3 linked regions of the Arabidopsis thaliana genome follow. The protein of the gene in region 2 interacts with the protein of the main gene of each other region in a pairwise test. Each region holds a gene or a part of one and is shown on either strand. Other genes may lie near its edges.

Evidence for each region.
Region 1: the proteins of RAN-1 (region 2) and AT5G53480 interact in a two-hybrid assay, tested with the Arabidopsis thaliana proteins (one study listed by BioGRID).
Region 3: the proteins of RAN-1 (region 2) and NTF2A interact in a two-hybrid assay, tested with the Arabidopsis thaliana proteins (one study listed by BioGRID).

What each region holds. Positions count from the first base shown.
Region 1 is NC_003076.8:21,711,266-21,724,205, reverse strand, and holds AT5G53480 (ARM repeat superfamily protein), read right to left. Parts: upstream 10,962-12,940; 5' UTR 10,724-10,961; intron 10,199-10,723; 5' UTR 10,191-10,198; coding exon 7,777-10,190; intron 7,696-7,776; coding exon 7,497-7,695; 3' UTR 6,328-7,496; downstream 1-6,327. Other genes in the region: AT5G53490 (Tetratricopeptide repeat (TPR)-like superfamily protein), read left to right, coding at 1-55, 157-403, 495-718; AT5G53486 (uncharacterized protein), read right to left, coding at 1,677-1,802, 1,913-1,977, 2,193-2,249, 2,318-2,384; ACBP1 (acyl-CoA binding protein 1), read right to left, coding at 11,815-11,991, 12,078-12,175, 12,257-12,348, 12,552-12,640, 12,763-12,865. UniProt on the Arabidopsis thaliana protein: Acts as a negative effector of drought tolerance. Involved in the regulation of stomatal closure and in the abscisic acid (ABA)-mediated pathway that lead to drought tolerance.
Region 2 is NC_003076.8:6,758,388-6,768,835, forward strand, and holds RAN-1 (RAS-related nuclear protein-1), read left to right. Parts: upstream 1-1,706; 5' UTR 1,707-1,976; coding exon 1,977-1,979; intron 1,980-2,130; coding exon 2,131-2,200; intron 2,201-2,422; coding exon 2,423-2,479; intron 2,480-2,566; coding exon 2,567-2,684; intron 2,685-2,942; coding exon 2,943-3,360; 3' UTR 3,361-3,943; downstream 3,944-10,448. Other genes in the region: AT5G20000 (AAA-type ATPase family protein), read left to right, coding at 282-438, 550-648, 833-943, 1,023-1,163; RAN2 (RAS-related GTP-binding nuclear protein 2), read left to right, coding at 4,430-4,432, 4,559-4,628, 4,969-5,025, 5,107-5,224, 5,577-5,994; AT5G20030 (Plant Tudor-like RNA-binding protein), read right to left, coding at 6,584-7,180, 7,266-7,649; IPT9 (isopentenyltransferase 9), read right to left, coding at 9,552-9,651, 9,742-9,881, 9,968-10,043, 10,249-10,343. UniProt on the Arabidopsis thaliana protein: GTP-binding protein involved in nucleocytoplasmic transport. Required for the import of protein into the nucleus and also for RNA export. Involved in chromatin condensation and control of cell cycle.
Region 3 is NC_003070.9:9,481,110-9,490,910, forward strand, and holds NTF2A (nuclear transport factor 2A), read right to left. Parts: upstream 4,894-9,801; 5' UTR 4,682-4,893; coding exon 4,385-4,681; intron 3,578-4,384; coding exon 3,506-3,577; 3' UTR 3,207-3,505; downstream 1-3,206. Other genes in the region: AT1G27290 (uncharacterized protein), read left to right, coding at 679-1,090, 1,451-1,467; AT1G27300 (uncharacterized protein), read left to right, coding at 2,215-2,355, 2,624-3,085; HK3 (histidine kinase 3), read left to right, coding at 6,671-7,177, 7,459-7,740, 7,943-8,112, 8,201-8,413, 8,510-8,696, 8,790-8,841, 8,956-9,185, 9,274-9,372 and 1 more. UniProt on the Arabidopsis thaliana protein: Facilitates protein transport into the nucleus. Interacts with various nucleoporins and with Ran-GDP. Could be part of a multicomponent system of cytosolic factors that assemble at the pore complex during nuclear import.

The sequences.
Region 1 (12,940 bases), about 15 Mb from region 2:
AGCTCTCTGTGCTTGCACTCTTACAATAGCTTCTCCTGTTATTGCTGCTAACCAGGTCTGTCACATTATATGGCCCTTTCTCTTTTCTATGTTTGTGTCTGAAGATGGCTATGTTTTAGAATTTAAAGAAATGGATAAATGGATTGTTTTTTTCAGAGACTTCCTCCGTTATCAACAGAACCAGACCGGTGTGAAAAAGCATTTGTTGGTAACACGATAGGTCAAGCAAATGGTGTCTATGACAAACCACTGGATCTTAGGTTCTGTGATTACACAAATGATCAAACTAATCTCAAAGGCAAGACTCTCTCTGCAGCCTTGATGGTTGGGGCTAAGTTTGATGGTGCAGATATGACTGAAGTTGTTATGTCAAAAGCTTATGCTGTAGAAGCAAGCTTTAAAGGTATATAGACTTAAATCTTGAAATTTGAAAGCATATGGTAAAATTATGGACCAAAATGTTAATTAATGTTTTAGTGTGAATTCTTTTCTAGGGGTGAATTTCACTAATGCTGTTATCGATCGGGTGAATTTCGGGAAATCGAATCTGAAAGGTGCGGTGTTTAGGAACACGGTATTATCCGGTTCGACATTTGAGGAGGCAAATTTGGAGGATGTGGTCTTTGAGGACACTATCATTGGTTACATAGACCTTCAGAAAATATGTAGGAATGAGTCCATAAACGAAGAAGGAAGACTTGTGTTGGGATGCCGATAGAGAAGAGAGAAGGTTTTGATTTGAATGTATTATATATGTAAGATTTAAGATTTGTTGACACAAAGATGTATGAAACTAAGTAAAGGTTGAAGGATAGGAGTCAAGAGAGTTATGAGAGGTTGTATAATCGATTCTTGTAAATTCTGTAACCAAACAAAAGGCGTTTTCTCTGTTTCTCTTCAATAATTTACATAGACATATTTAAGTGTTAGTATGTGAATTTTATGTATGCTTGTGAAATATGTATAACCATAGTAACTAGTCTTCGCTATAAATATGTAAGAGAAGAGACAATGAATAAAAGCGCATCTGGTGTAGTGGTATCATAGTACCCTCCCACGGTACTGACCAGGGTTCGATTCCCTGGATGCGCAACTGTTTTAATTTTATATTTGTTTTTTCATTTTAGTTTTATATTTTCTTTTTTTAAATCAACCATTGCAATCTTGTTTCATTTGTACTATGTTATTGTAATAGCGACATATAAGGTTTTAGCTATGATAAGCATAAAATCTGTCTTCATTTCTTTTTCGTTTAGTGATCATGCTGATAAAGAGTTTTTTACTATGTGTTTGACTGCATAAGATTGAAATCATCAACTAATGTGAAATATTGTAGAAGACGCATTTATAATAATACTATACAGAACTAAAAATAACCATAACACTTTATTTATTTTCTGATATAACGATTACACAGGATATAATGGCTATATTATATATGTCAATGAAATAAGATGATAATAAATAAGGATTTATTATGTCTTGTTATTAGACACTAATCCTTTCACTAGCGGGTTTCCGAAGGGTATTTTACACTGAGCTCATCCTCAAACAAAAAGAGTCAGAATGGAGGATACATCACATACATATTCATATATGATATATAGATATTAGTGCATGTGCTTATATATATGCTACTATATATATAATGACAGAGATAGTTCTGTGTTGATGATTCAACCCTTGCCTCCGGGCCTTCTCCTTGGGTCGTGTTTAGGGTTGGGTCCTGCGTCGTCGTAGTCCGCTGTCGAGTGGAACATCAACTTCCTATGACCCATCTTCTTCACACCCACCTCCTCACTCTTTTTAATTATAAACACATAAATTCTTGTCAATATTTGGACATTAACAACATTTCTAATGTTGATAAGAACATATATAAACGTAAAGCATCTACATGTATGATGTATACCTTGTAAAGCATGGAACTCTCATGCATCTTCGCACCGTCGAGCTGGATAGAGCCTTCCACTATGGCTAAAAGAAAACACTCTGTTAGCGGAATATACATTGTTCTTTAAGTGACTTATTTATTTCAACCCATACTAGTTAGTTAGATGTGTTTTAATTTTGGAGAAAGAATGGAAAAAGTGTTCACCAATATAATAGTAATTAATAATCAATGGTATTAAGGTAGTTTAAGGCACTAGATTCAACAACGAAGAAAAGACTAATGTTCAACAAGATAATACCAAAAGCTGATCTCGGACTAAGATGGATGTGTTGGGACGCAAGGTTGATAGTCATCCCTTAAAACAAAGTTAAAAGACTATAAATTGAAAAGGATGGAATATATGAATATCAATTATATGTTTACCTAATGATGAAGAGCATATAATGAGAATGAGGAAGAGTAGAGATAGGGGTTCAATCCTAAGAGGCATATTATATGGTTTTTGATGATTACTCTTTGTTCGTTTAGGGGAGAGAATGCAACTAATCAATGGAAAATGAGGACAAAATGGATTTTCATATGAGAAGATGGGGAAGGTTAGTTCCCATTTTATAAACGGTCAAGTTAATGTGGTGGAAACTGTTATGGTCCATGTATAATATTAGTCGTAATGGTGATGATGATGACTATGACAATGATGATGACCATGACTAAGATGGTTGGTTCTGTTTATGACAATGAAAATATGTAAAGCTCTTATCAATATAACTTTTTAAAATAAGAATATCACGTAGATATCGATTTTTTTTATATATCACAAAACAATTATCAAAAAAAGGTGAAAACAGTGGTGAGACTACTAACATCAAAATGGTGATGATAGTAGCAAGAACAAAAATGAGAAGAATAAGAAGTTATTGGGTTAACGCAATGAACCTACAGGCCACAAACCCTAGAAAAGGTTGAAAAAGTCAACTTAACTGTTGATTGTGTTACATCTCCCAAAAAGGAACACTTAACGCTTACCTCTATTTATGCTTGTGGACAAAAATCGTATATTAGCTAGTAACCTCACTTTTTTTCTTAACACACTTTTCCTTATAGCATGACATTGTTCAAATTTCAAATTCTGTATATCGTTTTTATCTTATGATTATGTTAATTAGACCGTACTAGATATACTATAGACAAAAGTCACAAAACTTTAACTACCAAACAAAAAGTTGACGTTTCTTTTAATTAGCCTTTTTTTCTTCTGGCAATCAATTTTTGATGATAGATAAATAGTTTATCTATATTGTTAATTTGCCAGATAGGAAAATGTAATTAGGAATAACAAGTTAAATCTGAGTATAGATTACTAACTGTAAATGTTTGTGAACCAAGTGAAGTGGGAACCATCAAATACTTGAATTAGAGTAAGTTGTGCCCTAAGCCATCCGAAAGGTTATATATGTGGATCAAATCATAATGAAAAAAGGTTTGTTTGATGCAAGAAAAGTGACCTAATTCATTAACTTGAGTGGAAGTTCATCTCTTGACCATATAAATTTTCATTATATCCTTTGAGTTTCATTAAAAAAAGAAAACATTTTTTTTTTATTTTACAATTTTAATCGGTTTGATCTCAAAACACTCTCTATTATACTAGTTCTTATTTCTAAGTGATGTTTCATTTTAGATGATTTTAGTCAAAACCAATATATTTTCTTAAAGGAAAAGTTTCATTCTGGTTACATGATCGATTTTAATCTAAGTTTTAACTTTTAAGCCCATTGTTTTCACCACTTTTTCCCATACAGCTGTAATGTATCATAGGTTCGATGAGTGCAGCACCACGTGTGATCTTAAGTCTACTTATTGACGCAAAATTTTATTGGAAATTGAATTCTGCTAAGATAATTGGGTCCATTATCAAAAGTAAAGATGGAATCATACCAAACTCGTACGTAATTATTGTAAGTTTTCAATGCTGTTAATGAATCAAAACGAAAGCGAAGATTTGTATCAAGGGTACACACTTTTCAAACAAAGACCCTACAAATACCCAAACTTGAACACACTTATTAATCCAATGATTATTTTCAAAACCTTTTAATCCAATTTCTGTTTGAAATTTTGGTTGTTATATTTAAATACACCATGTACAGTTGACATATTAGAACAAAGATCAGTACTAGTAAATTAAAGTTTAAATGTGGAATCAAAACATTTTCCTTGCGGTCAATGTAAATTTTACAGGGATCAAAATAGATAGACTAAGTTCAGTAAACTTCGATCACATAAACCAACATGGTAGGCAACTCCTAGACAGGGGAATAACGTAAGTAATTAGGAAGTCAAAAGATGGTTAGGGCAGATTTTAAAATCCGTGGTACCAAACACTAAATAATTTGATACAAATAAAGAGAAATAGTGGAACTAATCCTTCCATTTCGGCCTTCACAACTTTATAAGAAGTCAACTAGGATTGAGACAGACATAGCGAGTGGCCTGCAAAATGTATCAGAGAAGTGCATCTTTTTAAGTGACCCATTATTATAGTGAGAGACCACTATCCCCCAAAATCTTATTTTACAATTAATAAACATCGTTCCTCATAACATTATGTGTTTTGACCTAAAATCCATAATTCTACTAAATCCCAAAAACTAAAGAACTTTTACCCCCAAAAAGTCACCATATGAATGGTTATACTTATATATATGTGTGTGTGTATTGCACCATAACCCATATATTTTAGATTAGAAGACTTTATAAATCCCCTCTATAGATCCTTTCATATAAAAAAATGGTTTCGCACTTCAACTTTCTTAACTGGTTAATTATTTCCATCTTAAAATGTTTTCTCACAACCTCCAAGTAAATATCTGCAGTTTTCTATAAAAAATAAAATGAAACAGATTCTTTTTCAGCATCTGAATATGATAAAAACTAATATAGACTACACGTACATTAAACCAGCTAAACTGCTTAAGTAGAATCGTTGTACTATCTAAAACATTATTCACTTAACAGTTAACACATGTACGTGCAGCTCTTCTGTCCGAAGACTATGCATGACTTCACAAAAAAAAAAAAAAAAAAGGGAAAGTTCGTGAGTAGGGAAATAATCAATGTGTCGGCAATTATATGTTGCGTTTAAAAGGAGTGATGAATAAGAAACCAATGAGCCACTAAATTAGCAATGTTTTATTGGGCAACAACGTACGTGTCTTAAGTCTTAACTTCTGTTGTCCAATGTCAACTACACAGAAAGACGACGAAACGTACATCTATTAGTCTTTGACAAAAAAAAAACGTACGTCTATTAGTTAAAAAAAAAAGAGAACAAAAACACAATTTCAATACTAACATAGTTTACAACGCGAATAATAAATCACGAGACACCCACAACTAATAATTTCACTACTTTTCTTAAATATTTCCTTCGTTTTAAATTTTTAATATACAATTCATCTCATAAGTGTAGTTTTTTTTTCTGTAGAAGACGGGAGACTAAAAATTATAAGAAAAATTACAAACTTACTTGCCTTAGGCGCACATACCCAATAACATCATCGCTTAAGAGCGTATCAACATTAGAAGGAACAACATCAAAAAATGAAAGCCATCAGGCAATGAGAACGCATAGTTAGATCTATAAATGTAGTTTGAACCAAAGTTCTAGTTTTTATCCATTAAATTAGCTTATATATTAGGTTTTCGTTGTCCTACTAAACGAATTAATTTTCTTAAAAAACATCCGTTTTTTTTTTTTTTTCAGAGTTTTCTTTAATGGCGTTCATCTTCTAAGAAAGTATTTACTAATCATTATTATTTTTAAAAATGTATTGATCCGTAACCTTAAGGTAAAATGTGTTAGATAATAGCTATTGAAAGAAAAATTGGAGTTATTTTTTGTCGCAAGAAGTTCATGCTTTAATCAATAATTATGTTTCTTTTGACTAATAACTTGGATCGTAAGATTTTCTCCTTTTTTTGGCAGTTTCAGCTGACGACGCTCATATATCTTTCGGTGCTATTTCAGTATTGCATTTAAAGACTAAAGGTAAAGTTTAAAGTCGCAAAATAAAGTATTAACGCCGTAATGAAATTATTTGAATATGAAAAAAATCGTCGCGGACGACAAAAATGTTTTTTTTTTTTGTGTGTGTATCAGTGTATGTGATATATGTGGGTGTGCTTGGACAAGTCCTTTGACAATAAAAAAGGCCCACTTCGTATTACCACCATTCTTTTTCAACTCCCAATTTCAATTCAGAGTGGCGTGTCCTATTTCTCTTGGATGTTTAGCCATCATCTATCTTTTATGTGTTTTATTGTCCATTTGAGTGAGATTTAAATGGGTATGTCATCACAATGAAAAAAAAAAAAATACCAACAGAACCAACGTTTCTCTCGCCTAAATCATCAATTCGAAAAAGATATGTCGAATGAATTATGACATTATATATTTAGTTCAAGAGAAAAATTCTCGAGACGTCAGAAACATGGTTTGGGACTAATACATAGAACCGAGAGAAACTAATTTAAACCATAACTTGAATGGTCTAGAATGTTTCAAATACACATGAAAACATTTTTCAAAATATAGGTTCGGTATCAGTTGCATTTGGCGTTTGGAAAACCAAAAAAAAGCAACACATACAATCAAAATTGAGGTTTCCATAAACAGCGTGAATGTGAAATGTTCTTCGATCTCTTAACTTGACTCTTTGGAAGCAGAGTAAGGCAGGACGTTTTCTCCTATTAACATGTGCCCTTTCCCATATAGTTCGAGCCAAATCAAATAATGGATTCTAAACGATTGTAAACAGTTCCATAGTAAAATGAATAGATGTGGACCTCTTTAAGACCCTAAGACATGACACCATATAATAAAAATGTTCCTGTATGTGACATTTGAAACTTGATTGCAAACAAAACACAAGTATATATGCAAAACCCCCTAAACTGCATCATAGCAAAGAGAAGATAGACAGACATGTGAAACTTCTTTATATAAAAATAAAAATGTGAATAATGCTTTTAATCAAACATACAAACCCCCCCAAAAGACAAAATGATGATGCAAAGACTGCAACTAACCAAATAATAAAAGAAAACAAAAGAAAAAATCAAGGGATTGTCCTCTAATAATGCCCCCACTTGATAAAAACCTGAGACCTCTCCCTCCTCAAGGGGTTGAAGAACATATGAGAGAAAAGAAAAAACAAGAATGTATTATGAGATGTTCCATGAAACCTTTTTTTTTTTGGTATAACTTTGTCCCAAAACCCACCAGAAAACGACCATGACTCACTTCCTCCTCTTTCTACTCCCGGGGATTTAACCTTACCCGGGAAACTTTCACCCGTGACTCTTCCAGTTTCATTATTTACCCCAAAACTCATCATTCCCCACATCCACGACTCAACGATTCCCTGACTGACCCCAGTTATGCTGATGATGCAAATGAAACTGATGCTGATGATGCTGATGTGACTCGGATGTTGCAGCTCTACCCCTCCCCCCGACCGACTCAACCCACCCAGAGATGCATGCAGACTTTACTAAAAAGCAAAAGGAATTTTCTTTCTTATAGGCAAAAGAAGAGCCTTCAAACAGATATGGCACGGGTTATGGCATGCTTCGCCCATTCGGCTGCTTCTTTAATTGTGTGGTCTTCAGAAGACAAACATTCGTTTAAGAACTCTTTACTTGACACTGACTGTTGTATCAAACCACCCACATGACTCCCTAGTGTATCTGCTAAATCTCCTAAGACCCCAATCGCTGTCTTCATCACCACCTCGTCCCTGTCCCAAGGCAATTTTACCACAAAATTAAACAACTGCTATGACATAATAGAAATTCAGTTGGGTCGTAACCAAACTTACATGTCTTTCTCCATGTATATACTGTCCAAAAACTGGAGGATATGGGGTGCGAAAGGAATCAGGAGCTGGGTTTTGGCGGAGTTCTTGAAACCTTGAAATATGCCTGAATAAGCCTCAAGGATTCCGTTTCTCAATGAGTTTGTGTACTCCGTCATTTCATCATCAGCTCCAGCCGAGTGAGCAGATAACTCTGCGGCACTCTGAAGCATCGGCATTGAATACCTCCAGTACTTATCAAAATCCTCACCGATAGCAAGTGCTATGTCACCAAAACAGGAGAATATCGGTGGCTTCACTGATCGGTGCAATTGGTTGCTCGACAAATCTTTCAGAAGCTGTGTCATAATCCCATCGCAATAAGGTAAAATCTTGTCCTCCAATGCTCTGCAGACATCCCCAACAACACCAACAGTAACAGCACACACTTGGTATTCTTCAAAGTTTTGAAGACCCATCTCCAAGTACTTATAAAACTCAGGCATGTATTTGGCAAAATTGGGACCTGCTGCATAAGCAAGAGCACCAATGGCAAGCATGGCTTCCTCATGTGCAGTTGCACTTCTACAACCAAACACCCTCAGGAAAAGTCCCATCATTTGGTCTGCATACTCCATGAACTTAGACTTGGTTGGTTCAGATCCTAATTTCTGTATGATGACCTGCAAGCATCCACATAGAAGTCCCTGCAACTCGTTTTGTTTCTCCCTCTCATCCAATGAAAGCTTTTCCCCTTCCAAAGTATTGTGAAGCTCCATCATTATCACTGGTACTAATTGCAGAACCATGGTAGACGTTTCATCAGTTGAACACCTGACAACTTCATTCAATGCCTCATATGCTGCAGTCCGCAAGCGTGATTCAGTTGCATCCTCTCTGTGTGCAACAGCTAAAAGTGACTTAATAATTTCCTGGAAGAAGGGTGTTAACGGAGAACTGGGACCGATATCCTCATAGCCTTGAGCAAGGAAGTACAGAGCCCCACAAGCCTTCTCGGCAACATTAGGCGCATCATTCATGCTCTGGATGAGTACTGTGATTATCTGCTGGCAGTTTGCCTGATTAATAATAGGTGTCTCGATTGTTGAACCATGAAGGAACTCAAATATCCGACCAAGGGTCCATGCGGTTGTGTCTTTCACATGGTTGCTTGGGTCATTTGTTAGAGCATTGAGCATAAATGTTAACGCTGCGTTAACAATTGCCATCAACTTATCGGCAGAAGGGCCTTCCAAAATGGAACCAAAAGCATAAGTTGCAGCTTCTCGCTCTCTCCAATCAGGCTTTGATATTTTCTCTTCAATAAACGGCATGACATGTGGAACAATGTCATCTCCAACTGCCCTAGCAACCAAACCGAGGCATGTCCCACCTGCCATTGCAATATTCCAAGCCCCTTCATCCAAATCTTGATCTTCTTCTTGCTTCAGAAGAGTCTCCAGCAGTAGAGGCACAAGACCAGGGAGAGCCTGCTTAGTAAAATAAAAGCATGGAACATCAGAATCCCCAGCGAACTCACCACCATATTCTTCTAAGATGTCAATCTCTTCGTCACAAATAGAACTCCAGAACTCAATTGCCTGTAGAGCAACAGACTCGTCATCTTCTCTTACAGCCTTAGCTGTGATGTTGAATATATCTTGCATGTAATGCGCCAACTTCTCATAGTATGTGGAAGCGATAGATACCAAACACTCAAAAGCTGCCTGCCTAATTTTCACCTCAGGGGACAGGGTTGCTTCACACACAACTCTCATGATATAATCACGCTCCATGTCGTTGTTGAAATTTGCTTGGGCGAATCCGAGAGCCATGTATAAAGCACGGGTTGCAGCAAGTCTAACATCAGTATTACCTTCAGCAGCATTCATACCCTGAACAACAGCTGTGAGTATCTTATTTACATGCTCCTGTTCAACAACATCAGGTGACACTTCTTCACATAGGTATCCAAGAGTCTCCAAAGTGGCTTGCTTGACATGAGCAGGTAACTGGTGAATATTTGAGAGAAGAGACACTATGAGCTCAGGCCACTGCTTCTGTGGTAACTCAATACCTGCAACCTTAGCAATGACCTGAGATGCAGTCGAACGAACATCAGGCACAGGTGCCGACAGTGTCTTCAACAAGAAAGCTCTGATCTGCGACTTTGTTGACATGTCTAGAGCCAACCATCTCTGAACAAGCTCATACTTCCTGTGTTGTTCCTTAGCATCAAGAGCATTTTTAAGGACTAAACCAGCTAATTTCCTGCTATCTACTGGCTTCTCATCATTCGCAAGCTCTCCAGCAAGCGACAACAAGAAACCCGCAAGGTTTTGCTCCTGAAACTGCTTAAGACTTTCTTCCGCGTGCTTACGTACAGTTCCATCAATCGACTGAGCATTAATGAGCAACTGCGTAACCTCCATTGCCATAGGTTTATCTGCAACAGAAACAAACAGATTCAGCAAAACTGAAAATAAAGAAGAAGTAAGACAGAATCAGTAAATTAAGCCAACAACATGAAGAAACTCGTCAACGATCCAAAAAGCCATAAAGGTGAAAGACTACTAAATCACTATGAATCGAAAAAACCATGTAATAGCAATAAGAGATCAAAGCACGAGCCATTGACGCTTAAAAACACTGTCAGATTCAACTATAACAGCCAGAACAACAGATCCGAGCACGAAATCGAATATAAAACACGAAATCAAACTAGTTACTAAGATGACCAAATCAACAAGTTAATAGAACAAATGAATCTAACTAAAAAATCGAAAAGCAAATCTCAGATTACGAACGAGTTCAAATCATAAAACAGTGAACAAATCGAAACTAAAGTTGGAAATGGATGATTGAACGAATCGAGATCGAATCAGGAAAAAAAAAAAGCGAATTGGGAAGTGATGAATCTGAAGATGGATCTTAGGGAGAAAGTTGAATAGATGAAGTGAAGAAGGGTAACCTAGAATCTCGGCGGCGGCCGATCGGATAAAGCGGAAATCGGGGACTGGAGAGGACAAACCCTAGAAGCCCAGAAGGAAGAGAGAGAGAGAGAGAGAAGAAAAAAATCAGTTCCAGCGAAAAAGGGAAGAGAGAGAGAGAAGAGAAGAGAAGAATCGGATGTGAAGATGGACTTTAAATTTTATTATTAAACTTTTAACCAAATATTTATATAAACAAATAAAAAAACTGTTTTGAACACAAATTATGTAAATCTATTAATTTTGAAATTGTTTTCCAAACTTATATATATTTGTACTCAATTGTATATTTAGGTTTTGTTCAGTGTATCCTAATATTTTTATAAAAACTATATATAGGAAAATATCTTTTAAAATTACCCAATTAAAAAAAAGTTGTATAAATCTTCTAAATATGAAAATTTGTTTCCAATCATAATTGTTTGTTCAGTGTATCTTATTTTTTTCAAATAAAAACATAAATAGAAAAAAATCTGAATTACCCAATATATATATAAAAAGGGAAAATATTTTTCTTTATGATTTTTGCACACTAAAAATATATTTCTGATTAAAGAATTGATATAATCTGGAGTGATTATGTCGTACATCGCGTGTTGGGTGGTCCTTATCTGAACCCCACCTTATATATTCTCATCGTTAATTAATCAACGGTCCGGATTGTTTTACAGCGAGATGCGAAGAAGAAGATTTTTTTTCTTTTCTTATTCCGAAGGTACAATTTGTATCATATTTAAAATACTTATAAATTTTACAAGTAATCAACAAAATTGTTTTACAGGTATGATAATAATGATTCAGATGGCTGAAAAAACATGAAAGGGTCACGAACGAAAGAGAGAAACATTATACTAACAAAAAAAAAACTATTATTGAGTTATGATGATTGATGATGATGATCTCTCTGGGTTCAATATAGTAACCAATAAAAACTAGAGCTACTATATCATATGTAACTTGTGTTGTTGTATGTTAAAACATAAGCTTAAGAGGAAGCAAAGAGGCTCAGAGGAAATGTAAGAAAAACACAAGCATCTAGCTTTGACACACAATTTTAAAGACTTAAAAAACACTAATTGGAATCCTTCTTCTCTCGCATCCAAGACCATTCTGATTCACAGAGATCAAGAGGCGAGTTTCCGTCTTCGTCTTTAATGGTTGTATCAGCTTTCTGCTTCACCAGAAACTCGGCGAGTGCTTCTCTTTCGCACACAACAGCATAGTGTAGAGAGGTTTGGCCTTCATTGTCCTGCACAAAGTTTGTCAGCGACAAAAACATAAAAGTCTGTAATTGAGAGAAAGAATTAGTTTAGGGGGTTTTGGTTATTTATTTACTTTAGCATTCACATCTGCGTTCTTATCAACCAGAGCTTCAGCAACGTTAAGATGGCCACGGTCTATAGCCCAATGCAGTGGTGTTCGACCTTCACTATCTGACATTTCCAAGATGGAGAAACTGTTAAGTTTCCAAACCAGATCCGAACATTCTGTGAAAATGATACAAGACTACTAACCTCTTGCATTTACGGGTATGCCATTTTCTATGCATTTCAATAGATTCTCGACTTCTCCTTCTCTAGCAAAGGCGTGTATGGCGTCAATCTTCCTGGAACATGGAGTAAGAACGCAAGAATGAACAGAGCTTCTACTATGATTTAAACTAACACATGATTCTTTGATCTACCTAAGGTGAGTATTATGATATATACATTCCTTCTCTGATCTAGTCAGCTAGTCATATAGAGAAACTGAGAAAAGAAAACCAAAAGTTCATAGATGAATCTGTAACTAATTGCTTAGGAACCTTACAACTCATTGTCAGATTCCTCTTCGTACACCAATGAGCTAAAAACCGGTCCCATGGGGCCTGCAGCCTCACCACTCCGATTTCTTCGTTTCTAATAGTCCGCAACGAAGCAAACAAGCCAAGAAATAAAGACAGATTTAAGAACGAAAACAGACCATCCATAAACAGTCCAAAGAAATGGGAATAACAGAAGCAGGTAAGAAGACAACTAACCGAGCCACCTTCAACCCAAGCTGGGTAAAGCTGAGTAACAAGGTCGATATACTTCTCCATCGCTTCCTCAGGAGGCATAGCACCCAATTTCTGCCATGCTTGCCTAGAACAAAAAAGATCATAACAAATCTCAGTCGATCAAAATGCATCCCTAAGTTACCAATCAACAAAACAACAA
Region 2 (10,448 bases):
CGATAAATCTTTTACATGCCCGTGCTTAGTAGCTGTAGTGGACATGTGGAGTAAAATAAATTGAGTAAATTGTTCTCTGTTCCTGCTATGAATATGGTTTCAACATGTATACGATCTCAAGCATAATGATCTTTACAAGTAGTCTCGATGCCTAGCATTTAGGCCACAGTAATAGTCTTTTGTAATGAGCAAAGTATACACCATTAATCATCTTCATTGTGCTGAAAAATACTTATTCCAGCTAGCTTACCTTTCTAGTACCTCTGGCTTATGGTTTTCAGGGAGCATGCACCATCAATCATCTTCATGGATGAAATCGATAGTATCGGGTCTGCTCGTATGGAATCTGGTAGTGGAAATGGTGACAGTGAGGTGCAAAGGACTATGCTTGAGCTTCTCAATCAACTTGACGGATTCGAGGCGTCAAACAAAATCAAGGTATGCCTTATGTTGTGAATGAAAAAATAGTCATGAAGCTGAAAAGGATAACTCTGTGTTACTCTGAATTTCGCAGACAAAGTTGTTAATTCTCTTAAATGACTGTTGCAGGTTTTGATGGCTACAAATCGTATTGATATTCTGGATCAAGCTCTTCTCCGGCCTGGAAGGATTGATAGGAAAATTGAATTTCCTAATCCTAATGAAGAGGTAATGCTTGTGTTTCTTAGGACATGATATTAGAAATAACTTTAAACTTGAAGTAGCAACTTTGCTCACTCCGTTGTTTTTGGTAAACTATCATTTACTGCGTAAAATACTTTTCTCCATACTTATTGTACCCAAAGTGAGGCAGGACGGTTTGGCTAATGTATATTTCTAATATGTGTTGCAGTCACGTTTTGATATCTTGAAGATACACTCAAGGAAAATGAATTTGATGCGTGGAATCGATCTGAAAAAGATTGCAGAGAAGATGAATGGTGCTTCAGGTGCTGAGCTGAAGGTAAGTGTTTCTCTGTCCCTGCTTCTGTCTTGTTCTCTCCAATCTGTCTCTCTCTAATGTTTTTGGTTATTACGGTCAGGCTGTATGCACGGAGGCGGGCATGTTTGCACTTCGTGAGAGGAGAGTACATGTGACTCAGGAAGACTTTGAGATGGCTGTGGCGAAGGTAATGAAGAAAGACACAGAGAAGAACATGTCTCTGCGTAAGCTCTGGAAGTAGGAATTTCAGAGTCACAGATTAATTTCGATTATTTCTTCTCTACTGTCTGTGGTTCTTTCTGAAACCTTTTCGGCTAGCGCTTTAAGCTTTTCTAAACAATGTTTGTACACTAGTTTCTATTCATTCAAATGGTTGTTCAGCATAACATCTTCGATTCAACCAAGCTTACATTTTACATCTTAAGAGTATATTCTTCTCCAACTCAGTCTCATTAGCTTAAAGAGAAAACCAACTAAAAGATTGTTTGAGACAAAATAATCGACATAGCTTTGTACCTGAGATCCACCGCTGAGGTCAATAGTGAGTGATTTGAATTTGGAGTGTACATTAATTTAGAAATTCAACCCATCTGGCATGTGTCAAGAATAATTTGAAAACTATCCGTTATGAACAATAAAAATCCTTATTGATGAATGGTGTCTATTATTAAAAATTGAGGTATAAATATGATAAAGAAAATAAATAATTTATTTTGTCAAAACCAACGCGTATATATTGTAATGAATTTAATTTCAAAATTTGCTAAATGTGAAAAAAGGAAAGAAAAATCAATGCCGATGAATGAGTACGCGTGGACCTAAAGCTAGAAAAAGATCCAACGGTGGAGAAAGCTGCGTTAAAATTGCAGAAGAACCAAAGAGAAAGAATCCAACGGCCAATAGTGTAGCGTCAACTCAAAGCCAAACCCTCCCAAATTTCTCTTTTAAAAACCCCAATCTCTCTCTCCCTCTCCATCTTCATTCTCCCTCTCGCCGCTTCCTTCTTAACACCATCGCCTGAATTCGCTCTCCTCTAGCTCGCGATTGCGAAAACATGGTACATGTTCTCTTCGATTTTACCGATTTCTTCTTCGTGTATTATCAGATTGTATACCTTGATCTAGGATTATCTCCGTCTCAGATCTCACGAGATTGCGTCGATGTTTCCATGTTCTAGTTTCTAATTTCGTCGTGGATATATTTTTCAGGCTCTACCTAACCAGCAAACCGTAGATTATCCCAGCTTCAAGCTTGTCATTGTTGGTGATGGAGGCACAGGTACGGTACTCTTCGCCGTGTTTTTTTTTATCGATTAATCAATGCTTGGATTTACGTTGATGGTGATTGGGGTGATAGAGATAGGCTCATATGCTAAGCAGATTTTGCTAGTCGACTCTTTATAATCCGTACTGTTGTATCCAGTGGCTCAATTGATTTCAAGTATGGTAATGTGTTTTGATTGTTTTGCTAAACCTTTGATTGCTTTTGGTGGTTGTGCAGGGAAGACTACTTTTGTTAAGAGACATCTTACTGGGGAGTTTGAGAAGAAGTATGAACGTAAGTATTGCTTGTGAATGTTCAGATTTCTGTTCTTCATGTCTCTTAAATGATTCTGATTTTGAGTCGTAATCTTGTTTGTTGCAGCTACTATTGGTGTGGAGGTTCATCCATTAGATTTCTTCACAAACTGTGGCAAGATCCGTTTTTACTGCTGGGACACTGCTGGACAAGAGAAATTTGGTGGCCTTAGGGATGGATACTAGTAAGTGTGGACCCTTTACTTTCTCATTGATAGGTTAGTGTCTAGAGTCAATCTAGAGTGTGCTTAGTTTGGATTAGCTCTGGTTAGGATTTGAAATTGGCAACCGATTAACCTGGACAATGGGTATAAGACTGGTATGTTTTGAAGTATGCATAGTTTGCAACTGATTTTGTTACCTGGACAAATAGAGTAGAACTTGAATTTTAATTTTGATATTCCATCTGGATGTATAGCTAATCATCTTTGAATTTCTTGCAGCATCCATGGTCAATGTGCTATAATAATGTTTGACGTCACAGCACGGCTCACATACAAGAATGTTCCGACATGGCACCGTGATCTCTGCAGGGTGTGTGAAAACATCCCGATTGTTCTGTGTGGGAACAAAGTTGATGTGAAGAACAGGCAAGTGAAGGCAAAGCAGGTTACATTCCACAGGAAGAAGAATCTGCAGTACTATGAGATATCAGCAAAGAGCAACTACAACTTTGAGAAGCCTTTCTTGTACCTTGCTAGAAAACTGGCTGGAGACCAAAACCTTCACTTTGTGGAGACACCAGCGCTTGCTCCACCAGAGGTTCACATTGACATTGCTGATCAGCAGAAGAACGAGGCCGAGCTCTTACAGGCTGCAGCTCAACCCCTCCCCGATGACGATGATGATATCTTTGAGTAAATCATCCTTCTAGAATGTCTGCCGTGGGAAGCTCTTGCTTGTTCCTTTTGGTTTTCTCTATGTTGTTTTGGTGTTACATATAAATCAATCGGTCTTTCTTATAACAAAAATTAGGTATGTATTTTTGGATGGTTCTTCTGATGGTATCCAAAGCTAAGTTGTTTCTTCGCAAGAATATTAGTTGATTGGAAAACTTTATTCTACCTCCTATTACTTGCCAGTTCTTAGATTTCAGATGCCACTCTTTAGCTACCAGGTGATGTCATATAAACCTGGGTAAAATTAGCTGCAAGTAGATCTTGTTGGGAGACCTGACCTGCATTGACAATGGTTAAGTTCTTTGCCTTCCCCGATCTCTCTAGCTTTGCAGATTCTTCTGCAATCCTCTTCCTTTTCTTCTTTGAAACTTGATCTTCTTAATCAATCCGCACCAGAACTTGTAGAATAATAATCGGATAACTTTTTGTTTGGCAACCATTCTTGCATTGAAGAATGAAGTAACCCTTTCCCTCAAATCAACGACCGATTTCAATCCGTGATTCCAGACATTTTCTTCAACCGTGAGCTCTAAGACCAATTTCTGCAAGTTTGAGCTTAAGAATTTATCGATGTGTATATTAATTTCTGGAAATATTGTTGGTATTAATATGTTACCATTAAATTTGAAAGGCATCATTAGATGGATGTCATGTGAGTGAGTACTTGAAATTTTGAAACTATCCGTTACGGACAATAAATCCTTATTTAAATGATTTGTTAGTAAAAAACTATGCTACAAATAAAATCAAAACTTCACATACGATACAGGAAATAAATATATTATTTATTTTGTCAAAACTCAAAACCAGGACCTAAAGCTGAAAAAAAAAAGATCCAACGGTGCAGAAAGCTGCGTAGATATTGGAGAGCCAAAAGATGGAATCTAACGGTGGAAAAAATAGCGTCAAACCTAAGCCAAAACCTCCCAAAATTCTCCTTATTAAAACCCCATCTCTCTCCCTAGTCCCTCTCGCCGCATCGCTTCTTAAACCTCGACGACATCAACGTCTGACTTCGCTTCTCCTCTCACATGGTGAACATTCTCTTCTCTTTTCCCGATTTCTTCGTCTTGTAGTATTTAGATCTCACGAGATCGCTTAATTTCGTTGATGTTTCTTTTTTCGGATTTTACTGAATTTTGTTGTGATATCTTGTTCAGGCTCTACCTAACCAACAAACCGTAGATTATCCTAGCTTCAAGCTCGTCATCGTTGGTGATGGAGGCACAGGTACAGTATTCTTCGCCGTGTTTTTTGACCTATTGTTTTTTGTGATCTCTGAAATTTGATCGTCTTTTCACTGTCCCCATCTGAAAGCATTCTCGTTTAAGAGACGGATTTGAGATTTTGATGATGTGCTGATTAGATTTGTACGATTGGTTTTTGATAATATCAATGTTTGATTGGTTTTAAAGAGAACCTTACAGACTAGGCCTTCGTTGAGCAGATCTTTGGGATATCGATTCTTAGATGATCCGGAATGTTGTTTTCATTGGCTCAGTTTTAGTATGGTTCAATGTTTTTGATTAGTTCTTGCTAAACCTATGATTGCTCTTGGTGTTTTGTACAGGGAAAACGACCTTTGTGAAGAGACATCTTACTGGGGAGTTTGAGAAGAAGTATGAACGTAAGTATAGCAAAGATGCTTGTGAATGCACAATTTCTGTGAACATCATCTGATGTTGAGTCCTAATCTTGTTTGTTGCAGCTACTATTGGTGTGGAGGTTCATCCTTTGGATTTCTTCACAAACTGCGGAAAGATCCGTTTTTACTGCTGGGATACTGCTGGACAAGAGAAATTTGGTGGCCTTAGGGATGGATACTAGTAAGTATACATATCTCCATTGATATGTTTGTGTGTATACTCAATCTAGAGTGTGTATAGTTTGGATTAGCTCTGGTTGGTTTGTGCGTAAAATTGGCAACCGATTTGTTACCTGGACGGTGGGAATAGGAATCGTATGTTGTTGAAGTAATCTGTTAAGATCTCAATATCTATTAAAGTTTGCATTGTTTTGATTAGCGCTGGTTAGGTTGTGAAATTCAAGAACCATCTCACATGTCATGTTTGCAACTATTGTTACCTGGACAATAGGAATAGCTGACTGGGACTTGAATGATAATGGTTTGTTTGATATTCCATCTGGATATATTGCTAATCTTCGGTTTTCTTGCAGCATCCATGGTCAATGTGCGATAATAATGTTTGACGTCACAGCAAGGCTCACATACAAGAATGTTCCGACATGGCATCGTGATCTTTGCAGGGTGTGTGAAAACATCCCGATTGTTCTGTGTGGAAACAAAGTCGATGTGAAGAACAGGCAAGTGAAGGCAAAGCAAGTCACATTCCACAGGAAGAAGAATCTGCAGTACTATGAGATATCAGCAAAGAGCAACTACAACTTCGAGAAGCCTTTCTTGTACCTTGCTAGGAAACTGGCTGGAGACCAGAACCTTCACTTTGTGGAGTCACCAGCTCTTGCTCCACCAGAGGTTCACCTTGACATTGCTGCTCAGCAGCAGAATGAGGCCGATCTTGCAGCTGCTGCAGCTCAGCCTCTCCCCGATGATGATGATGACGCATTTGAGTAAAATCTTCCAAAAATGTCTGCTGTGGTTTTCCTCTATGATGTTTTTTGAGTTGATGTTACATATAAATCAATCGGTCTATTTTAGAACCAAAATTGGGGGAATTATTTGGATTGTTCTGTTTTTTGGGACCCAAAGAGAATTTGCAGTCAAGTTTTTTCTGCCTTAAAGAATATGCGGTTATTGGAAAACTTTGATTCTACCCACTTTTCTTTTACTTTGCCAGTTGCAACATTTTAGATTTTGTAACTATTGTAGCTACTTGGTCATATGAATCAAACATAAAAGGAGAATATTTAGCTGTGCTACTTGAAATTGTTAGTTTAATCACTAGTGTTTCAATTACGTACACAAATCTTCTCATCTCCTTTTTTATGTATAGCTTTTAGGCCATGGCATGAATCATATATACATTGCTAGTCTTCCTCAAGTCCAACGCAAAGATAAAAGAGTAAAGATGATCAAATTTTCTTTCACAAGTTTGGAATTAAATCAAAAAACCTGAATGAAAAATAAAATGACATTTGTACAATCTACACTCAGTTTTTATTCTATGTAACACAAACTGTAGTTCTCAATGCTGCTGCTGCTGCTATCTGTATATAGTACTGTTATCGTCAGAGATAAGGTTTCTTATCTGCATCAGATGTTCCTCATTCGAAATGTTCAATTTGAGACGGAGATTTGTAATCCACGTTTCTTGTTCCCATGTTATGATTGGTCCGGATGCGTGCAATCTCTCGATACTGCTTCGGTATGCATCCAGCTCTAACCTATGAACATCAGCAGCCTCTGAGCCTTTTCTTGGAACCACCAACTTCTTGACCTTCCCGTAGCCACAAGACGATGACTCTGTGTCACTAGAGTTACCGGTTTCAATGGGATTGAATGAAACAGCACTGAGACCATCAGTATCCATGCAACAACTACCAACAGAAGAAGCAACACTCTCTCTATCTTCTTCTTCTTCTTTCACTTCTTCACGAAACCTTGGAGGATAAGCAGCTAAAGCTCTAGTTTGATTGTGAGGTTCAACCAAAGAGTAAGTCCGTTTCTTTAGACCTACTGACAAAGGTACATCAGACTCATCAAGCTTGTCTTTGCTCTCAGATGAAATGTAGTCGCCTTTCGGATTCACCTTTCTCCTTAGTTCTCCTGTTGAAGTCTGTGCGCTTAATCTTGATGTACCCTTCAGCCAAATGGTAAAATAAACAAAATGTCAGCTCAAAAACAGACTTTAAAAAGATATAGTCACAGAGGAAAGAAACAAGTACCTGTCCAATCATGATCCACTCGTTATCTTGCCAAGATTGTCTAACCCGAATATCGGATTTAGTCACCTTGAACTTCAGTGAGGAACCAAGTAATCTAACCAAGAAACAACCGTTTCCTAAAACCTTGGAAACGATTGCCATCTTCCACGAACAACTTTGGAAAACCTCAAGAATGTCACCAGGACACCAAGCATCAAGAACTTGTAAACGAGGAGGCTCAGGCCTCATACTCTTCCTCGGTACCCTCTCTGTACCATCATTATGATCATACATGACAGTGTAGTAATGCCCATTTCCTGATATGATCTCTGCAGACCGCCAGGCGCCAGATGGAACCGATGATTTGCTCAACACTTCGACTTTAGTTCCCTTGTTGAATCTCATGATTGCTGCTTCAAAAACACCTTAAAGTAAATATCTTTTCACATTCCAACTGCTTATAAAGATCAGAATTGAACATCACATATGCTAAAAGGCTGGTGCTTCACAATCATTAAGCAACAAAACAAGATAAATACATCCAAATATCCAGAAACAAGTTGGACCAATAAGATCCATTAGACTCATTCACATCCAAAAAATTCAACTTCAACCAATTGGTATAAAGATTACAGATTGTTTTGCTTCATAATCACTAGATTGCAGAAAAAGTCCTAAATTGCAAAAAACCAAATCCAGAAGCATACAATGGCTTGAAATGTTAATGAAATTGAAAACAGAGTATGACTCAGTTCCTAGGATCAATCTTCATTACTGAGAAATTGATTAGGGGAAGAGAATCAAAAATCTTTAAGCGGACATGAAGAGACTTAAAACTCAAAAATTCAAATTAAAAAAAAAAGAAAAAAAAAATAAATTTGAGATTGTGATTGTGATTACCTGAAAACGAAGTTTTAGTTTTTAGGTTAGTGAATGTTTAACACGCAAAGAAAGCCATGAATGATTCTACTGCCAGAAACAACAAAGCTTTGTTTTTTTTTCTTTGATATTTCTGGGCAACCAAACTTGGATCAAAAGGGCAAATAAAACAAAATTAAAAACGTATATGCAAATAATTATCAAAAGGAACAAAAAAGATAAATGTATATTCCACATCAGCAGCAGCAAGCCAAAAATCATTTTTTAAATGAAAATATTTTTAAGAAAATGAAGAAGAGAATATTTCAAGTTGCATGAGAAATAGCCTTTTTGTTTCATTTTATTTGATATGGGACTATTTTGTGTAAAATAACCAAAAAAAATGTAATTTGATAAGTGAGAATAACTTGATGGTTTGTTGGAAGATATGTAAAAGATTAAAAGTTGAATTTGTTATGTTTTCTTATATTTGAGATATCTAAAAGAGAATTGTTTCAACATTAATTAGACCTCTATGATTTGGTTTATTTTTCATAGGAGTGGTGTATAGCATTTAATTAATTCAATGAATGATTTTGATATGAGTTGACCAAAAGAAAAAGAAGATTAATTGGAAACATGATGTTGTAATCTAGGTGTTGATCAGCCTAAGATAACACTAAACATAACGAAAGTGCAAAATTTATAAATTTAATCACCTTATCTGAAAGTTATCATTATTTTGAGACTAACATATCCCTTGCTCGTCTTATTGGTTCGACATATCAAATACTTACACACTTATGTACGTAATTATAGGATAATCATAGTCTGTAATTCATAGTATAACAGTTTATCAATATGTATTGACGTTACGTTATTTGTTTGTTTCTAGGTGAGCACGAGCAAAGTGCGTGTTCCGGTGTGCCAAAAGTTTCGACATATTTACTTAATTTAAAAACAGTTATTAGAAAAAGAAGGAAAAAAAAACGTAATGGGGATGGTCAGGTCAGGTGGCTTTACATAATTCCCAATTCACTTTTGAGTTTTTGGTCATAAAAAATATTATCGAGATCGTAGGGTCCATATTTTTTGGCTTCTAACGATCAAATTTTATATTTTAGTTTGTCTTTCCCTTGCAGTACTTATTCATATCTTCTTGATTTCACAACGGATTGTGTCATCACCTGAACAATAGTGTTAGAATTATTTGAATGCGACTCCTAATGGTTCATAAGATTTTACAACTTTTGAATTTCTCTTTTTTGGAAATCATTATTGCTTCCTAATTGTATGAGCTCATGAATAAAGAAGGGTGTGCAATATTTTCTTCATACGTGTACTCAAGAACATGATCCAAAATCTTGTCTACTCGTAAAAAGTTTATAAGCAAAACACACTTTTGTTTTGGTTTTGGTTTTGGCTTTTCCGGATAAAATGAAGCAGTGTTTATGCTATTGCGCTTTCCACGCATGAAGCTTCACTCTTACATCCTTCACTCCTGATCCATTCTAACACCGAAGAACAGTCCTCTCGTCTTACGAAATGCCTTCATTAAGAGATTCAACCCATTACCAAACGAAGAAGAATTTAATAACCAAAAGAAAGCCTAATTTAGTGTTATGTTTGATCTTTGTACCTGTTTTTGGAGCGATACCCCTTTAGTTCAGAAGCTTCTCGAGAATCTCTTACGTCTTTGCTCATTCTTAGAGACTCCGGTATCTCCACCATCTCTGCTTCGCTCTCATAAGCATCGTATATGCATTGAAGTATTGAATCCTGCCAGAACAATGAATTATCACAATGCTTGGTTGATAGTATATAAGAGACTGAATAGAACAGAGAGAGCCCTCTTAAACATATACCAGAGGTTTGGAAGCATTGAGCCAGTGGTACATAGGCTCACACCGGAACCATGTCATTTGCCTTTTTGCAAAGTTTCTGCGTATCAAGCAAACCAAGTATTAGTTTAAAAGCGATAAGAGAGGATAACATGGGTTCTTTAAACTTTTGCAGGAGACAAAAAGTGAAGAAATGAATCAATGTGAAAGAATCAAAACAGAACTTCGACTTTCATTTATTCTCAATCACTATTTCGTCCAAAAGCTAATACACTAGATATTTCAAGTCTATGTAGAGGATTCACCTGGATGCTGTCTGAAATTTGTTCAAGAAAGCATAAAATTCTCTAGGGGAACTTTCGCCCTCATATCGACGACATTGTAATAGATATTCCATGGCCTGAAAACAAGGAATCATATTTCCATTGTTGATCAAAAACGGTATCAAAGTACGACAAATAAATTGCAATGATGAAGTCGTAAAGTATTTCATTTTTCCAACTAA
Region 3 (9,801 bases), on a different chromosome or scaffold from region 2:
ATTCATCATGGACCTTAATGATAATATCTTGAGTCTACTAATCATTTCACAAATCCTTTCATTTTCCAACAGCAAGTAGCCTGATTTTTGAACCTCAGCGATAGACAGCTTAAAGTGCGGTCATTCTCGCAAAAAGCTATCAGTCTTTATTTGATTCACGAACATTATACACGAAAGTCAAAATTAAATAACCAAAAAAATTAAACAAAAAGCAAACAAGAAAACGACTTCTCTGGTATGATTGGAACAAATTTAATAGAGAGAGAGGTTAGATAAGAATGTGGTAGAAGATAAGACCCAACTACGCGTCATAACTGGGTCCCATCTTTGTCTCTTTCCCTTCTTCACTCGCCAACCCCATCGCGTGTCCCCACGCTCCTTCCCTTTACTTTTTCTCGTTATCCAAAACACGACGATTCTTCATTTTAGATTTTTTTCATTAATAAAAAAAAAAAAGTCTTTTATTGCAGAAATTTCGATCGTTTTTGTTGTGTGTACAGAGAGATTATCGTGTTTTGTTGGCAATCGCCATTAAACCTTCTTCCCTCTAACCCAATCAAATTTGCGGCTCTTTCTTTTATCTTCTCGCCTCGGTTTTAGCAAACCCTTTAGTTATCTTCTTCCTCAAGCAATTTTTCTTTTGGATTAGATTGGTGTTTTCTTTTGGTTTGTGTGGTGATGATGAGAAGGCAACGAGATGAACAACAATCTAGGGTTTTCTACGATCTATCATCTCTTGTTTTGAATCTTCTCCGTTCTCCTCCTATGCCGATTTCTTTACCTGATCATTTCCCCGATCCGCCCGCTAGAATTCGTCCTCCCTTTTCTTCGCATCGTTTTTCGTCTTCTTCGCCTTCTTTGGCTCATATTTCTCCGTCTGGATTCGCGTCGTTGCTGCTTGGTATATCTGTGGCTCTTATGCTATGTGGATCTGTGACTTTCTTCATCGGGTTTCTCTTGATGCCTTGGGTTCTTGCTCTGATTTTGGTTTTCTATGTCGCTGGCATCGTTTCTGCCATTTCTATGGTCGGGAGGTCGATTCTCTGTTACGTCTTGACGCCACCTTCTCCTTCCGGAAAGGAGATTTCTGGTAATTTTGTTGAATTTTAGGGTTAAGTTTGTCAAATTGGTTTCAATGATTCAAGCTTTCTACTTTCGTCTCGGATCTGTTTAGATTTTAACCAAAGTTTCCTTATTGATCATCTAGAAATGATTCCACTGGGTTTTGGTTCTGTCCTTATTTTGATAGAAATGGAGGTTCGAATTAGGGTTTTATTGAAAAGCACACCGATGTTTGTTCTGTCTTTGACTGAAACGATATTGTTCTTTTGTTTCCTCGTGGATCATATTATTCATGTTCACATTACTTTTGTTGTCTGAAATTAAACCTATGTTTGTATTAGTTTCATGTTCTTGCAATAATGTTTGTGTTTGACATGTCTATTCGCAGAATGGAAGCTTCTGTGAAATGATTAAACAACAGAGGTGAAGAATCTATACATCATCCGGAAGCAGAGCAGAGCGAAGCAGAACAAAAAAAAGAAGAAGAAGGATTGATTATATAAACACATATATCCGATAGAGTTTTTCTATGTTCTTTATCTGTATTTTGTTGGGGGGGTTTGGGAAAATCATGTGGATATCAGGGAGTTTTATATTTCTTTACATTTCGAAAAAAGAATTTTTCTATTTAACTACTGTTAGAAATAGAGAAGCCTTGTTATTTGTGCTTTCATGTATGTCGTTTTTATGTAACATGATCATTTCTTAAAGCATACAAAAAGATTTTAGGATTTCTGTTGCACTTCTTTCGATTTCCTTGCATTTTCGAAACACTCTGTGTTGATATCTCTTCCTTTAAATCTTCTTACAATATTTGCTCATTCTTGATCTCTTTTATGGTTTTAAATAATTGTCTCTTCAAGTTCACACGGAATCTAGTGTGAATCGAGGTTTAGTCGTGCAGAGTTGTGTGTGTTATTACATGTTTTATTATTGTTTAAGTATATTTATTTAGTGGAGGACTATACGCTATTTGCACATCTCAATGTCAAATTGCTCAAAAATGGTAGAGGTGCCGTGCCGTCAATAGATGTCACGTGTCCTGACTTGCCTTCTCAATACAAACAAAAATACTCTCTACCTAAAAAAACACAATAAACAACAAACGCATCTTTGGAGCGGCGGTGAGATTAGAGAAGAAGGGTTTGTGAAATGGAGTCCAGTGAGGATGTGGAGAATCTGAGTAGAGCTATTGAGAAGCTTCTTCATGAGAAGAGGAAGAGAGAAGCTTCTGGTGACGCCTTCATTGAAGACGCTGATGATCAGCTTTTCCTCTCTAGCCTTATCTCTCAGGTACTTTACCATCGCTCTGTTTTCTCCTTTGTTGATTTATCTGATGTTGCAGCCAATCAACTTTCTGGGTATATGATTGAATCATGAGTATTTGAGTGAGTCTGTGTAATTGTTTCGCTGTGATGTGTCTGCTTCGATTTTGATGAGATCCAACAAATACAAGCTTATCTTCATGATTGTGTTTAGTTGCTGTTTCATGTCCACAACATTATTTGTATTGGGATGTGTCCATTTCAGGCTTGTGCTAATTTTTTTGCCAATAACTTAGTTGGAATCACCAAACCCCAAGGGGAAAGAAGATGTCATAACCGGAGAAGAAGAAGAAAAAGAAGAAGAATCTGCAGATTCTTCACCATCCAAAGGAAAAAGCGAGGGCCAGAGACAATTGGAAGAAAGTATAGAAGAAATAGCTAAAGACATCAAGAAGGTGAAGAAGCAGAACAAAATAACCCATGTACTTCTCTCGGCTACGATCATCCTGACATTGGTTTGGCAGCTCTCTGAGTACTCCATGATTTTCATGTTGAAAGATAGAATAAGCCACCCAGTCAGATCCATCGGAGGTATGCTTAATGGAATGTTCAAAGGTAAGTTACGTCCAATCAAGAACCAACTTGCGGGGACTTCCAACTCCAATGACCAAAACAACCATGGGAATGGATCACACACTGGACCTCAACTTCAAGTGCCCGAGCTGTTGCGAGAATTCGGTTTCGACGATGAAGAATGATAGCTTCCCTTTGTGACTCAATAATACCAGTTGTTATTTAGGAACAGGGGTCACCCTCATTGTTTCTTTGCTTTTAGTATAAGTAGTTTACTTTTATATGATCAAAATGCGAAAGAATAGTTGCTTTCTCAAACTTTTCCACATGAAAAAGGGTTCCAAAAGAGAACCGTATTTCAAAAAATCTTTTGTTTTACCCTTACTGAATCATGGTTCAGTGCCCGAAAACAAAAGGAGTCATCTCAAACAAAGTAACAAATAGCTCCATTGATTAAAATAAAAACAGACAGCAAACCACCTGAAACAAAGCTTAATGTTCCAAATCTAAAACCAACTCAAACAGTTTTTGAATAGTCCCAAACTTTCCACCACTCTCTTTTCAGCTTCCAATAATGGTTCCATGTACCTCTGGCATCAAATTCCTCAGGCATAGTTCAACCTGAATATGTCATTGAACACGTAGTAGTTTCCCTGATTCGATATCAAATGGAACATCTGGACACAAAACACAAGTATGTCAGGAATCAGGCAAAATCCAAACAACAAGCAGTCATCAGATTTATGTTACAATCATATAGTGATCCAGTGCGTGATTCACAACACAAGAGATGCATACGTAGCTCATTACAAGTAGGTCAAGTTGACAGAAATTCATCCCACTTTGCTCTATACATACATTCCACAAGTTTGATGTTCATACAAATATGATAACAAAACACAATTAGTACCTTGATATGAAGAACTAAAATGACAAAAACATCTCTTATCGAACAAATCTAGTAAAGAGCGTTCAACACTAAAAAGAGAAAACAATGTCTTACGGCAGATGATACAAACACTGCAAGCATCTCAAACTATTTAGAGTTGAGACAATTTAATCAAGAAGGTGGCATATCTACAACTACAACAAGATCACATATGAGCATAGTTGAAAAAAACTAGCAGAATCATGGCAAAGCAGTTTCCCAATACTACATTCACGAAGTGCAAGGAGATAGAAGCTCCACAAGACAAAATCTAAATGACACAAGATTACATCTACTGATCTACGCAATCATTTGGGGGAAACCTCTTTTATCTCCAACCTTATCACAGATCTATCACTAAATGCATCAGGGAGGGTCTAAAATTTCGAGACAATTCCAGATCATTGAAGCTTTTAGTGACCTAATACACACATCAATCTACAGAGCAGTAAGGATAAAAACCCTATCGTACATGATCAACAGCGAGGAATACAAAGGAAACACTAAAAATCGAAGTGATCTAAACCCAAGGGAAAGAGATAAGGCAAAAAAAAACCTGGCTGAACTTGAGAGCGTGTTGTTCACCAGCGAGCTGAAGATTGCCGGAGACAAAGACGAGCATACCACCGGCGGGACCAGAAGGCTGACAATCGACGGTGGTGATGTTGTGCTTACACTGCTGGAAAGGGAGGCCGGTGAGCTTAGCGACGATGTTCTGAGAGCCCTGGATCTTCTGGCCTTCGAAGGTCAACATGGATCCTTCTTGGTATAGAGAAACCAACCCTGGACGATTTGCATCGAAGGTGGAGTAGTAGTGCTCAACGAAAGCCTTTGCAACAGCGTCTGGATCCATCTCTTTCTTCGTCTTCCTTTTTGATCCTTAGCTCTTGCGTCGTGCTTTTTCAACAGGCGAGAGAGGATCGAGAGGGTTAGATAATTTACTGAAAAATTATACGAATGGACCAAGACTAGAGATACTGAAATGAGTGTTTGACGATACTTTAAATGGGCCTTATATTTTTCAAGTTGGGCCCGTTAATATATGGGACAATCAACAGTATAGCTCAATTGGTAAATTGACTAACTTCATTTGATTCCTACACCATTTAAAGATTTTTAATCAAATTCTGATATAACTAAGATAATATTTTAAAGCATTTAACTAACATGGAAAATTATGAAATGAAATATTAATTTTGGATAGAAAATTTAAAACATTTATCTTTGTGAAATAAAAAGAAAGTCTCTTATAATATAACTTGTAAAGTAATCCTTTAAATTCTAAAAGATCTAAAACAAAATGAGTTAAATCCTATGTCTATGTGTTGAATCTGGAAGATCGAGGTGGAAGAAAAAGGATCATGATTCATGGGTGAGAGAACAACCGTTGATTGGTGTGTTTCAACTTTCAAGCAATCCCATTTTAAAAAAATAAATTTATGTAAGCAATTGCAAACAAAATGAAATGATTATGCTTTAAGATATCGACACGTGTAAAACAGATGACGTACCAAGAAAATAAATGATTCTGTATTTTGTTTTAGCCATTTGTTTTTTCTTTAAAGGAAAGTGTATGTTGAAATTGAAAAAACAAACCGAGTTATATATATAGAGTTATTTGACTAAAGAAGGAAGCTTTGGTTAAACTAACTTGTATAATTCTTTTGTGTAGTTTAGTTTTGATAAAATGGCCAAACAATTTTGGTCACTTTACCAACTACTGCAAAAAAACCATTTTCATAATAATAAATTGTAACACGCCTTTTATTTTTATTATTGGAGGGTGAGAACTGAGACCATATATGCCTTTGTTCCCTTCTTGTGGGTCCCTTTAGCCTTTTTTTTTCTTTTGCCTGCGCCGTTTAGTGTTTTTTCTTTTATATATAAATAGAGGTAAGTTATTTTACCAATCATTTGGTGTTATTAATAGTAGTATTAATGAGGTTCTAAACTTGTTTATAAAAATCAGATCTTACTAAACAAACTCAAAGAATCTCAACTATGAACATTTTTCTTCTAGAATCGAGTTTTAACATCATCATCAGCAGGATATAATTTTTTGTGTTTGAATTTTATCTGTATTTTTTTTAGGAGTACATAAGCAGCTTAAGATTAAAATATATATTAATGGAAGTATGAATGAAAAAAGAAAAGAAAGATAATCAGATAATAGAGAGAGAGAGAGAGAGAAGGAAGCAGACATTTGTCTTCCACCATATTCTTCTCATCTTTTCCGATGATAGATTCTTCTTCTTCTTCTTCTTCTACTACTACTTCTGCTCCTCTTTCTTAAGTTTCTCCATTTGATAATTCACTCAAGTCTCCAGCTCCTCTTCTTCTTCTCGTTGCTTTATTCGCTCTCTTTCACTCATCATCATCACACTCAAAGATTTCTGTTGTATTGGAGCAAGCTCTAGCGAATTTTCGTACTCCCCTTGTAGAATTTTAGTTTCCTGTTTTAGATTTCGAGGAATCTCGCTTTGGAAACTTTAAGCTCCTGTTCAAAGTTTCTACCTTTGTTTATTTTGTTTTTGTTTTCTTCTCTCTTATCTTTCGTCATCTTTGATTAAGTAACCACTTTGATCTCTCAATTTCAGCCTTTGGGTTGTCTAATCTGACACGTTCCTCTGTCTTAGCTTTCCTTTTCTCTTCTCGTTTGTGGGAAGCCTACAAGGATTAATTATTAAATACCCAACCCCAAAAAATTCTTCCTTTTTGATTCTCTGATTCGTCCCTTTTTGTACATGGTTTCTGTTTGGTTGTTAGAGCTTCTTGCTGAGTTGAATTGAGCTGGTTGCAATCACTCTGTTTCTTGGGGGTTGATCGTGTATTCAAGTGGTGGATGAGTCTGTTCCATGTGCTAGGGTTTGGTGTCAAGATTGGGCATCTCTTCTGGATGCTATGCTGCTGGTTTGTTTCTTGGTTCGTTGATAATGGGATCGAGGACAAGTCTGGTCTTTTAGTTGGCTCTGTCGGTGATCTTGAGAAGACTAAGATGACTACGTTGAAGAAGAAGAACAAGATGTGGTTCTGGAATAAGATCTCTAGCAGCGGACTCAAGATCCCGAGTTTCTCTTATCAGTTTCTTGGCTCTGTTAAATTCAACAAGGCGTGGTGGAGGAAGCTTGTGGTGGTTTGGGTTGTCTTCTGGGTCTTGGTCTCTATTTGGACGTTTTGGTACTTTAGCTCGCAAGCTATGGAGAAGAGGAAAGAGACGCTAGCTAGTATGTGTGATGAGAGAGCTCGTATGCTGCAGGATCAGTTCAACGTTAGCATGAATCATGTTCAAGCCATGTCTATCTTGATCTCAACCTTCCACCATGGCAAGATTCCTTCTGCTATCGATCAGGTATTCTCGATTCCGCATCTTCTTGTCTTCTAATCTGTTTGGATTGATGCCTGAGATCTAGTCTTGCTTGTAGTACATAAGTTGTTCCTACGGTGTAGTATATGAACGGTCCTTGGATGATGGTAGCTTTTTTCATTCAACTTGCTCTCGAATTTCAGTTAGGATTTACAATTTTGCTGATTGTTGCTTACAGTCTTTGTATTTAGCTAACACTTGGTAGCTTGATTCCTATCTTCTTGAGTATTAGTGAACAGTAACTAACATTAAGAAGCTTTGTGTAGAGAACATTCTCAGAGTACACTGATAGAACTTCCTTTGAGAGGCCTCTTACTAGCGGGGTAGCTTATGCTATGAGGGTGCTCCATTCAGAGAGGGAAGAGTTCGAGAGGCAACAAGGTTGGACTATTAGGAAGATGTATTCTCTTGAACAAAACCCAGTTCACAAGGATGACTATGACCTGGAAGCTTTGGAACCATCCCCTGTCCAAGAAGAGTACGCTCCAGTCATCTTTGCTCAGGACACTGTTTCTCACGTTGTTTCTCTCGATATGCTGTCTGGGAAAGTAAGCTTCTTTACTGGTTCTAATTTTACTGTTTTTATGTAATTTACTATCATGGTCTACACTCACTACCGGGCGAATCCTGCCGACATGGCTAGTTCATATTTCAATCTCGGCTTACCGATTAAGTTGTTTTGATCATTTTATTTAAAGTTTAGAGCACTGTTTTAACTGATACTTATTCTCACTCAATTCCTCTTGATAGGAAGATCGTGAAAACGTTTTGCGGGCCAGGAGTTCAGGTAAAGGGGTTTTGACAGCTCCTTTCCCATTGATAAAGACAAATAGACTTGGGGTGATCCTGACATTTGCAGTGTACAAGAGAGATCTCCCCTCCAATGCAACGCCAAAAGAGAGAATTGAGGCTACTAACGGGTGTGTAGCATAGGCGTCTAAATAAATAATAACGCATAAGTTTTACAACATTATTTTTGCTCATTCATCTCTTTTGATGCCCCTGAAGGTATCTCGGGGGAGTGTTTGACATTGAGTCCCTGGTAGAAAACTTGCTTCAACAGCTGGCTAGCAAGCAAACGATTCTTGTCAATGTGTACGATATCACCAATCACTCTCAACCGATTAGCATGTATGGTACAAATGTGTCGGCTGATGGGTTGGAACGTGTTAGTCCACTAATCTTTGGCGATCCATTGAGAAAGCATGAGATGCGTTGCAGGTACTTGCAGTTGGCACATACATATGTCTGTAATTTCTTCTTGTTTGCAAGAATCCAGGTGCTAACATTTTGTTGTGAGCTTCTTCCTCTTTGTAGATTTAAGCAGAAACCACCATGGCCAGTGCTATCAATGGTGACATCATTCGGTATCCTTGTGATTGCGTTACTTGTTGCACATATAATCCACGCAACCGTTAGTCGAATACACAAAGTTGAAGAAGATTGTGATAAAATGAAGCAGCTCAAGAAAAAGGCTGAAGCAGCAGATGTTGCAAAGTCACAGGTAAATACATCATCCTCAGTTGATAAATTTCCACAGCATATTAAACTTTCTATGACAGAGAGAAGAGTTGTAATCTAACTTTTTTTTATGCAGTTCCTTGCCACTGTTTCACATGAAATCAGAACTCCAATGAATGGTGTTCTAGGTGAGTATCGAAATGGCCACTATGTTGCCTCCTTCTCTCACCTATGCCCATGAATATTTTCTGAAGAACAAACTTAACCAAATATTCTCATGTTGACTTTGATCTGGGGTGTAGGAATGTTGCATATGCTTATGGACACAGAGTTAGATGTTACGCAACAGGATTATGTTAGGACCGCACAGGCAAGTGGAAAAGCTTTAGTCTCGCTAATAAATGAGGTTTTGGACCAAGCAAAGATTGAATCTGGAAAGCTTGAACTTGAGGAGGTGCGGTTTGATTTGAGAGGAATATTAGATGATGTCCTGTCACTCTTCTCTAGCAAGTCCCAACAAAAGGGGGTGGAGGTAACTTACTATATGATCTGCAAAGCAAGGGTTGTAACTGATAGCAAGTCTTTCTTACTGATTTTTTGAGTGTTGCTGATGAACGCAGTTGGCAGTATACATATCTGATCGTGTTCCAGATATGTTAATTGGTGATCCTGGGAGGTTTCGACAAATACTCACAAATCTTATGGGTAATTCCATTAAGGTAAACTTTTTTATTATGTTTTTTTCTGACCATTCCTTGCATCCGAGTTGATCAACGGAGCTGATCATTTATATATATTCTGGCAGTTCACTGAGAAAGGACACATCTTTGTAACTGTTCATTTGGTGGATGAGCTATTTGAATCTATCGATGGAGAGACAGCATCATCTCCGGAAAGTACACTGAGTGGGCTTCCAGTTGCAGACCGGCAGAGGAGCTGGGAAAACTTTAAAGCTTTCAGCTCCAACGGGCATCGGAGCTTTGAACCATCTCCCCCTGATATAAACCTAATCGTCTCAGTTGAGGATACTGGCGTAGGGATCCCTGTAGAAGCGCAGTCCCGTATTTTTACGCCTTTCATGCAAGTCGGACCATCCATATCCAGGACGCATGGAGGCACAGGAATTGGACTTAGCATAAGCAAATGTC